2 linked regions of the Saccharomyces cerevisiae S288C genome follow. Changing the gene in region 1 together with any one later gene gives a genetic interaction. Each region holds a gene or a part of one and is shown on either strand. Other genes may lie near its edges.

Region 1 (4,640 bases):
CCAATACAACCTCAACGACAACCCCATCAAATAACAACAGTAACTCAAACCAGGCGAAGATAGATTTAGAGAAACTTACTGCGACAAGTGAGCCAACTTCAAGAAGAGCTTCTCGTCTGTCTGTATCGAAAGAATCAAGTATTAGATCGACACTTTTCCCAAACAAAAACTATTTGATCGTCACTACAAACCCTAACTCTAAAGCTACGTCGGTTTCCACCTCCCCTAAGCTAGAAGAACAGATGAATGTAAGTTCAAATCCGATAGTATTATCGGACAAGGAGAAACATAGAGTAGCTTCACAACACCTGAATGGGGAATCGTCGCCACAACTTGTTCCCCATTCTCATCATCAACCTCACTCAGATACAGACGAAGAAGACTGGGAATCAATTGGTGCAGCTTCTCTGAGAAATAACAGTTTAGCACCTAACATAGACAGCGTAGCAAGTTCTACTAATGGCGTAGTTAGCCCTAAACCTACAAATCCAAGTTTTACTAACTCTCAGAATGGAGATATTGAGCCTCCCCTACAACACGACCAACAGAAACATGAACAGCAGCCAAGAAATGGGGAAGACAATAGTGCTGCGTTTTTATTAATGAGCTTAAAATCTTAAGAATTCTTTACCAGTTCCATGAAATAACAAAAAAACAGTAAAAAAAAAATGAAAATGAAAAAAGAATACATATTTTGTTTTAATGAAAGTTTGTTACCAAGTTTTGCTTTAAGTTTATCATCTCTGAATAATTATTTTGTCTTTTTTGTCACCACTTTTTTCTTGTCACATTTTTTTCTTCTTTTCATATTCATTTCATATATTAGCCCGTTCAATATATTTCAAAAGACCCAGTATTTTTCACATTTTACCCTTCCGATTCTTTGTGTAGTATATACAAATTACAAAAACACACACTGAGAAAAACATGCACTAATAAAAAATAAGATATTATGTACTAACGTAGGAAAGCAGGTACAAAACCTCTGCTGTAATTTCACGATTTTCTTTATTGATCATTAATTTTCTTCTTTTTTTTTTTTGTATTATGTATAAATGAAAATAACAATAAAAAAGGAAGTAGATGCACGCTGCACCAGTAAAATAGCTACATAAATTTCTAGTCAACAGTGTCGGCAGTATGTTTGACCTCTTCATGGTTATCTCCGCCACCATCACGGTCGTTTAAGGACAGATTCTCCATAGTGGCGTCTTCATGGTCCTGTTCGTATTGATCTTTCAAACTTTGAAAGTCTTTCTCGTTTTCTAAGATCGCTTTTATTCCAATAATGTCAATGTCATTAAACACTTCCAAAAGTTTCTCAGCCTCTTCAATTGGTATATCTTCAAAGACTTTATTAATATTATCCAAATTTTTGGTCATTATGGCTTCTTGCATTTTTTCCGGTATTAAAGTTTTGAAAACTTTAACCTTTTTCATCTCTTCTGGATCTTTAGAATTGAAGTCTGGCAAGTTTACTTCTAATTCTGTAGAATCATCTAGAGATTTCAATTGAATCGTCTCTACTCCTTCAGCATTCGATTCATCCATTTCCTCTTGTTGTAAAATTTTGGAACGTTTTTGAATGTGCAAAAATTTTTCTTGAACTGATCTCAAAAAAGACTCTTTACCCATTGGCTTGTCCTTGTTGAAGATAACCTTCTCGAAAAACATATTAATGACATTTGATAGTTCCATTGGATTTAAATATGGAATTTTCTTCATGTCGTAGATTTCCTTAATGTAGGCCATCAATTCGGATTGATGAATGACTTGCAAAGTCATCTTATCGTCACCATGTAACTGATACTCAAAGGCCTTCATCATTAAGGCGTCCTTTTGTTGTTCTGAAATAATAGGTAAGTGCTCCAGTAAGAATTTCTGAGATTTTGAGTACTCATTAATGGATATTTTACCGAATTCTTCAGTTTCCTTGGCCAGTTTCATAGGATCATCTTTAAAATCGATGAAAGTTTGCGGAACTGATGATTTTGCTAGTTTATTAAGAATATTAGACTCTGCAGCGCTCGAAAGAGCTTCTGAAGGAGTTGCTTCCAGTGGCTTAGCCCCCCCCTTTTGCTTGTTCATAAAGCTACTATCAAAGCCTGTATGAATGTCTTCAGATGAAATGTGTGCATTTTTCTCCTTGTATAATTCATCTAATTTCTTCTTAGCCTCTACAGTTACTGAATCGATCTTAGCCCTATGTTTCAAAATAGCATCCCTTATGAGAGATGGGCTCTTCGAGTCTTTGCCCTCTTTGTCTAAATCTTTTGCTAATTGTTCAAAAAGATCTTCAACCATTTCATTGTATGTTGCAATCTCAGGATCAACATTTTCCCCTTTACTTTTCTCCATCTTATCAAAATTTGCATTCAAGAATTTGGTAACGGCTGGCAAATCAGTAAGAGAACTTTCAGGTAAATTACTCAAAATTCTGTCCACTCGTTTGTTCAAATGAGAATACATATCCACTTGTGTCTCCAAATTTTTGATATCTTGGTTCCTTTTGAATCGCTGTTCATGGATACTCTGTTGTTTCCATTTAATGAACGATTTCTTGTCCACATTAGGATGCACCTCGACATCAGAATCATCTGATAGTTCAATTTTATCCCACTTAGAGTAATCAATGGCCATTTTTGACTTATGTAGTTGTTCCGTAGTACGATAGCTCGATAGTTTTTTTATCGTGATGAAGTGTTGGTGCAACGGAGGTGTTCTCTTATGTGGCAATCTTTCATGATCCTTCAGTAAAAAATCGTGAAAAACGGATGTTCAAAAAGCGTGTCAAATTTGCGTGAATAAGTGCTCTAATCAATCTAATAACGAATCGTGTATTTAAAAGAGTTGCATACTGCTACACTATATACATATTTCATTTCCATTTGTTAGCCACTAACGATAAAAGTCTGGGCGACCTATATTGAGCCCGTATTCAGCAACAGCGCTACTGAGATCGTTCACCGTCAGAACAACTTTGCTTGCTGTAGTCTTCTCATTCTGTTGATGTTGTTGTTGTGAAATCTGCTGCACGCCAGGCTGTTGCTGTCCTTGCAATAGCTGCCTAGCTCTCGCCTGACTGTTGTTAGCATTAGATACCGCTACGGAAGACCTGATCCTGGAATATTCGTAGGCATCCTTAGCTATATCACTAACAAATTTCTGAGTAGCAAGTGCTAAAAGTCGTTTCACTCGTACATCTGCTACGTTAAACCCGTTTTTGGTTAAATAGTAGTCTATTACTGCATCGGGAATGATAGGAGGAGTACTGTCCATCATCTCTAGAATCTCCTCCAGAGTCTTATCTTTTCTTGTAAATTCGGGTATACCAAATGCATTTTCACTCCCATCATCCACTACAGCCTCTCTCTTTTGCTTCTTCTTCATGTTTTCTGCGACAGAGTCATCATTATCATTGTCCCCATCATCGGCTCCCGCAACCGATGGAAAAGGTGTTTCTAATTGTCCTTCTTGATTATCATCAAACTCCGCATCGTAATCTTCCTCAAAATCCATAGTTTCAGTTATTCTTTCCTCTGTTCTTCGCTGCCAGTTCTTTTTAGCTTAGGCATGAATGCTGAATCTGCAGCTTCTTTAATTTTTCGTTTCTGTTTTCAACTTGAAAAAACAAAAGTATCAACTCCTACTATTCAACTAAAGTAACAAAAATAAGCTGCGTTAAAGCTGCTAAACTAGGAAAGAAGTTTCTGTTGAAATAAAGTAGCGAAAAAAAGTTTGGTACCATGGATAGGTTTCAAATTGGCGACGAGCAACTACTTCGTTTTTATCAGTTGAAGACTATTAATCCGACCCATTCCTGGGCCCAAGATTCCTCAAAATTGAATAATGAAGAGGCTACAAGCAATGAACTTGGCGTTGAAACGTCATTCGACATATTAAAAGACTTCAAATATGGCAATCAAATTAGCATTGACAAGGAATCGAGAGCATATTTAAACGATGAGTCGTTAAGTTATATTAGAGATCCCTTGAATGGACAAGAAATGTCTAAAGAATTGCAACATCTACCAAATGATTCAATGCGGTTGAACTATCTTGTCAACAGTAAACAATTCAACGTCAAAGCCTTTCTGAGAGATATGCACAAACAAGACTCTTTCAATGATCTAAATAACTCACTGGACAGGTTGGACAGTGATATACAAGACCAATCTATACATTTGAAACAATTGGTTGGTAAAAATTTCACCAAGTATGTTAAGATTAAAAACAAGTTAGACCAAATTTACAAAGAATTTGACGAGAAAACGAATGAAAAAAACCAATGTGATTCACCAAAAGAAAATCAAATAAATGTGGAAAGCTTAAATAAAAAGGTCGACGAGGTTATTAGAACAACAACTTTCAAACTGAAACCGCTAATGGATAACTATCAGAAAATTTTGAATTACCAGGCCACCAAAAAATTTATTGAATTGAATAAGTTTTACTTCAACCTACCCAAATCTTTAAAGAGATGTTTGACTAACAACGATTTCAATGAGTTCATTATCGAATATTCAAAAGGTCTTACGCTCCGTCGCCGTTTCAACCAGAGTTCAGATGCTTCACAATCTCTTGTTATAAAAAGAATTTGGACTCAAATAGAAAATTTATTAGTCACGTATAAAGATCTG
Region 2 (4,120 bases), 690 kb from region 1:
GTACATTGTATCCTGTTTCTCATGTTTCTTCAAGAAGCCTTCCACCTTTCCCAATAAAAAAAGCTTATCATTACCTAACGAGGCAAAAACAAGGTTTTGAGTCTTTTCCCTAAACACCAAAAATGCACCAGTCACTTCAGTTTCAATGAATGTATAGTAAAGCAGTTCCTTCATCGTTGGTCCATTTAGATCAAAAATGCGACCGTTTTCAATTTTTTTTTTGTGCATATGCTATATCATTACTTGATTAATCTTCCTTGTTTCCACCGCATTTTAAATGCCCTGCCAGGCCAATAGCGCCGTGCCTTTTTTCTAATGACTATAATAAGAATATGTATGTAGGATAAAACTAAACATTTATACTTAGGATGAAGCAAATATTTTTATGAGGCCATACTAGGCAACTGCCATGTCTCCAGGCGAATTCTGGCCTCCACCTGAACTGGGTTTATTCGCAGCAATGTTGTCGCTGATATTTGGATCGGTTCTGTTATGAAAACTGAAAAATTCTCCAGTCCTTGATGGTCCTGAATCAGATGTAATGAAATAAACATTTTGTGCAGAACCGTGTGTCTGGTTCGATAAGTTTCCGTTTTTGGGTAGAATCTGCTCATTTTGAATAGATGAATAGGCTTGATTATTTTGTTTGATACTACTTCCTAGAGTGTTTATCTGATACGCGGAAAAAGATGGTGAGGAGGAGAATTCAGAACCGGTATCGTCAAAAACATCATCATGGTTACCGCTACCGTTTCCGGTAGAATCATCATCAGAATCTAACCTTTCGTCACGGGTTTCTATAGGAAAAATCTTCAGCACAAATATAATGGAAATAAAGGAAGATAAAGATGGAATAAGATAAAACTTCCAAGACAGACGGTCAATAAGTATAGGGGTTATTAAGCTGACGAACCACTTAAAAATCCAATAAAAGTTTGAGACTAGTAGTATCACTGGGGCCTGTGACAAGTGAGGTAGAAGCTCAATGGTCATAACCCATCCTATAGAATCCCAACTGATGAAGTGCGTAAAAAGAAAAACAGCAAATAGTATTGATATATACCTCGTTGTGCTCTTGGGAAACCAGTCTGTAAAAGATATGGTAAATAGCAATGCACACATCACAATCGAACCTAAGAGTACATTCGTTTTCTCTTTACGTTTCCGTAACACCAAGGGAACATATGCTAATATTACGATGCTGTAAATTAAAGCATTAAGCCCCGTTAAATAGATAGATTTTCTTTCTCCTCTCCCCATTTGTTGTAATATTAACGGTGAGTAATACAAGAAAGCATCCACTCCATTTGTTCGTGTGAGAAGTTGGAAACCTATCAACAATTTTATTATTGAAGAAAAATCCTTTAAGATATACGCATATGGATAGGAGTTTTTTTGAAGGTGTGACTTTAATAATATGTCTCGTTTCAGGACCCTAAATTTCAACTGAGTTTGGTTTTCTTCGAAATTTCCATCATCGAAAACATTCGATATTAAAACCAATGCCTCTACGTCGTTCTTTTGCTTCAACAGCCACGAAGGGGACTCTAAAATAAGATAGAACGACATTAGGTTTAGTATTATTCCAAGTGCCACATGTGTTGACAAAGGGTATCTCCATGCAAAGCCCAAATATCTGAAAGCACAATTAATCCATATTCCGAATGAATACGCAATGACACTAGAGACGCATTGAATGGAAATTAATGTCCGTTTTCTTATACAGGGAAGGGGAAACTCGAATTGATAAATTATTACCATAGAAAAGGCAAAGCCCATACCTACTCCGAGTAAGAATCTACCCAGTAGTAAACACCATTGGTTTAGAGCCAAGACCTGAACAATGGCACCCAAAGAGTATATCATTGTGCTTATTTGGAGCATTTTTTTCCTGCTACAAGGCTCCAGGATGCCAGAATAGACAAATAACGACGCCATGAACGCACCCAGATTAACAATGCTCACTATATTGCCCAGCGGAGAAGTAAGTGGGTAATGAAAATACTTCTGGAACGACAAAGTCATAACGTTACCAGATATGAGGCCTTGGTCCAACCCTGACAGCGAGGAAACTAGCACCACAAAAGATATAAACGAAGTACGCAAAACTCGACTGGAATGCCTTTTTTTCTTACTTCGTAGTTGTGAGATTTCAGCCTGTTGTAGTAATTGGCGGTATGGATCATCCATTGATAATCTAGGGGTATGTTCAGAAAGCGGCAAAACCACAGTAGCATCGCTGTCTCTATATAGAGAACCACGACGCGAGCTATGAGCTGTGATGTTGTTCTCAAATCTGAATATGTCGGGGTTCTTGTGGGGCAGTGAAGTTAGTGCGGTATCATCCTGTTTACTGTTAAAATCCTGTGCTAGCTGATGTGCCCTATCAATATGCGCCGAACTATTAGCTTCCTGAGTAAGTGGTTTATTTGAACGTGACATGTTTAACGGAGGTTTCATTTTCTTGAAAAAGCTGAGATAGTAACAGGTTCCTCTGTAGTATTAAATTTAGCGCTCTTCTTTATGTTCATTCTTTTTGTCCTGAAGTGGCCCAGAAGCCCTTCAAAGCAATCCTTTATTTTTTTAGAACTACGCGGCTGACGTCCTTACCTCGGTACGGTGATACAGCTATTACATTGGAAAAAGTAGTTAGTCAAAAAACAGGAAATAATACATAAAGTACAAACTCATATTGTTATACATTTTATATTCACAAGCTGAATGCCAAGGAAAATAGACAAGAAGTTCATGTACTTCATTTGCTCAACAGGTTATCGAATCTAGGTATCAAAGATTGAGCTAACGCAAATGAGAAAACCAGTTTTGGACCCGTTGTTAGTAATTTAGGTGTTAAGCCCTTGAAAAACGCAGTTACACCTTCATTTTTCAGAGTGTTTTTGACGATTCTCAACCCGCTTTCAGGATTATCAAAATTCCTATTTTGAATTCTTGTCTTGATGACATCTAATGGAGCAGAAACGATCAGAGAGGAGCAAGCACCGACGATGGAGGAGATGAAGTTTTGGGACCAAGTAGCTTGAGAATAATCTTTCAAACCCAAGATATACTCCTTGGCGAATGCATTACCACCAAAAAGGGCGAATGAACCGGGAGCATTTCTGGCAGCCGTCCACCCCCAACCCCTATATAAGTTGAACAGGCCTTCGTCTCTCAAAATCTTGATGAAACCTCTACCTTTAAACGATTCGGGATTGGTCTGTCTCTTAATCTTCAACACGTCCAGCGGCAAAAGAACAATTTCACCAATACCAATCAAAGATCCAGCAGCGGCGGATCTCATTGCCTTACCAGTCTTTTCACCGAAAAGATTATCAAAATCCTTTTTGTAGTGCTTATTCAAAAACTCGTTAGCAAAAGGCTGACCACCATATTTATACACTCTTTGAAGAACTTTGTATGATGCAGCGTAACCGAGACCCGGGAACAAGGTAAACAAACGTTTGCCCAAAGGTTCGCTGAAATGATCACGAAAAATAACACGATTCAATTCCTGGCCAGAGGTTATTTTGGTGTGGTTGGACATCAGTCTTTTGGAAATGGTGTCCACAGGATGGAAGACGGCAATTTCCATTATGCCTGCAGAGGCGGACCCCAAAAGACGAGCTAATCCTGATTGTTTCTTATCGGTATGAGGCATATTTCCCTTTTCTAATACTTTGGAAGATGCTTTGTTTGATATATGTCTAAAGGCTAAATATTAACCATCAAAAGAGATACACGATTTATATAGTCACCTCTATATATCTATGTCGTCGCTTTGTAGAAAATGTGACAGCAAATGCACAGTGACTCACGAGTTTTTGTTTTCTCGAGCTTTATCAAGAATTGCGATCGTTCTTTAATTTTCATTTTCTTTTTTTTTCGGGCAGTGGCGGCGGTGCTACATGCCATTGGTCTACAAGGAAACTGTGGCAGCGAAGATTAACGGTGGTATGTTTGCGATAGAGCTTCCTTTGCAGATAGGCGGATGCCGTAGTGATCTCTACCGCTTCGTATTTATATTTATTTATGTAGTCCTGAACAATGCTTTGAATCCGCCAAGCTTTGTGCCACAGGAGGAGTTGATGTGTCTAGTGTGACTGGTTCATTTGCCACCAAT

The links.
Region 2: mutations in CDC37 (region 1) and YDL199C together harm fitness more than expected from each alone (negative genetic interaction), as found in Saccharomyces cerevisiae (2 studies listed by BioGRID).

The regions. Positions count from the first base shown.
Region 1 is NC_001136.10:788,328-792,967, reverse strand, and holds CDC37 (Hsp90 co-chaperone CDC37), read right to left. Parts: upstream 2,641-4,640; coding exon 1,120-2,640; downstream 1-1,119. Other genes in the region: STB3 (Stb3p), read left to right, coding at 1-620; TAF10 (Taf10p), read right to left, coding at 2,899-3,519; exocyst subunit SEC5, read left to right, coding at 3,747-4,640. UniProt on the Saccharomyces cerevisiae protein: Co-chaperone that binds to numerous kinases and promotes their interaction with the Hsp90 complex, resulting in stabilization and promotion of their activity.
Region 2 is NC_001136.10:100,894-105,013, forward strand, and holds YDL199C (uncharacterized protein), read right to left. Parts: upstream 2,461-4,120; coding exon 397-2,460; downstream 1-396. Other genes in the region: MGT1 (methylated-DNA--protein-cysteine methyltransferase), read right to left, coding at 1-174; GGC1 (Ggc1p), read right to left, coding at 2,756-3,658; ASF2 (Asf2p), read right to left, coding at 4,024-4,120.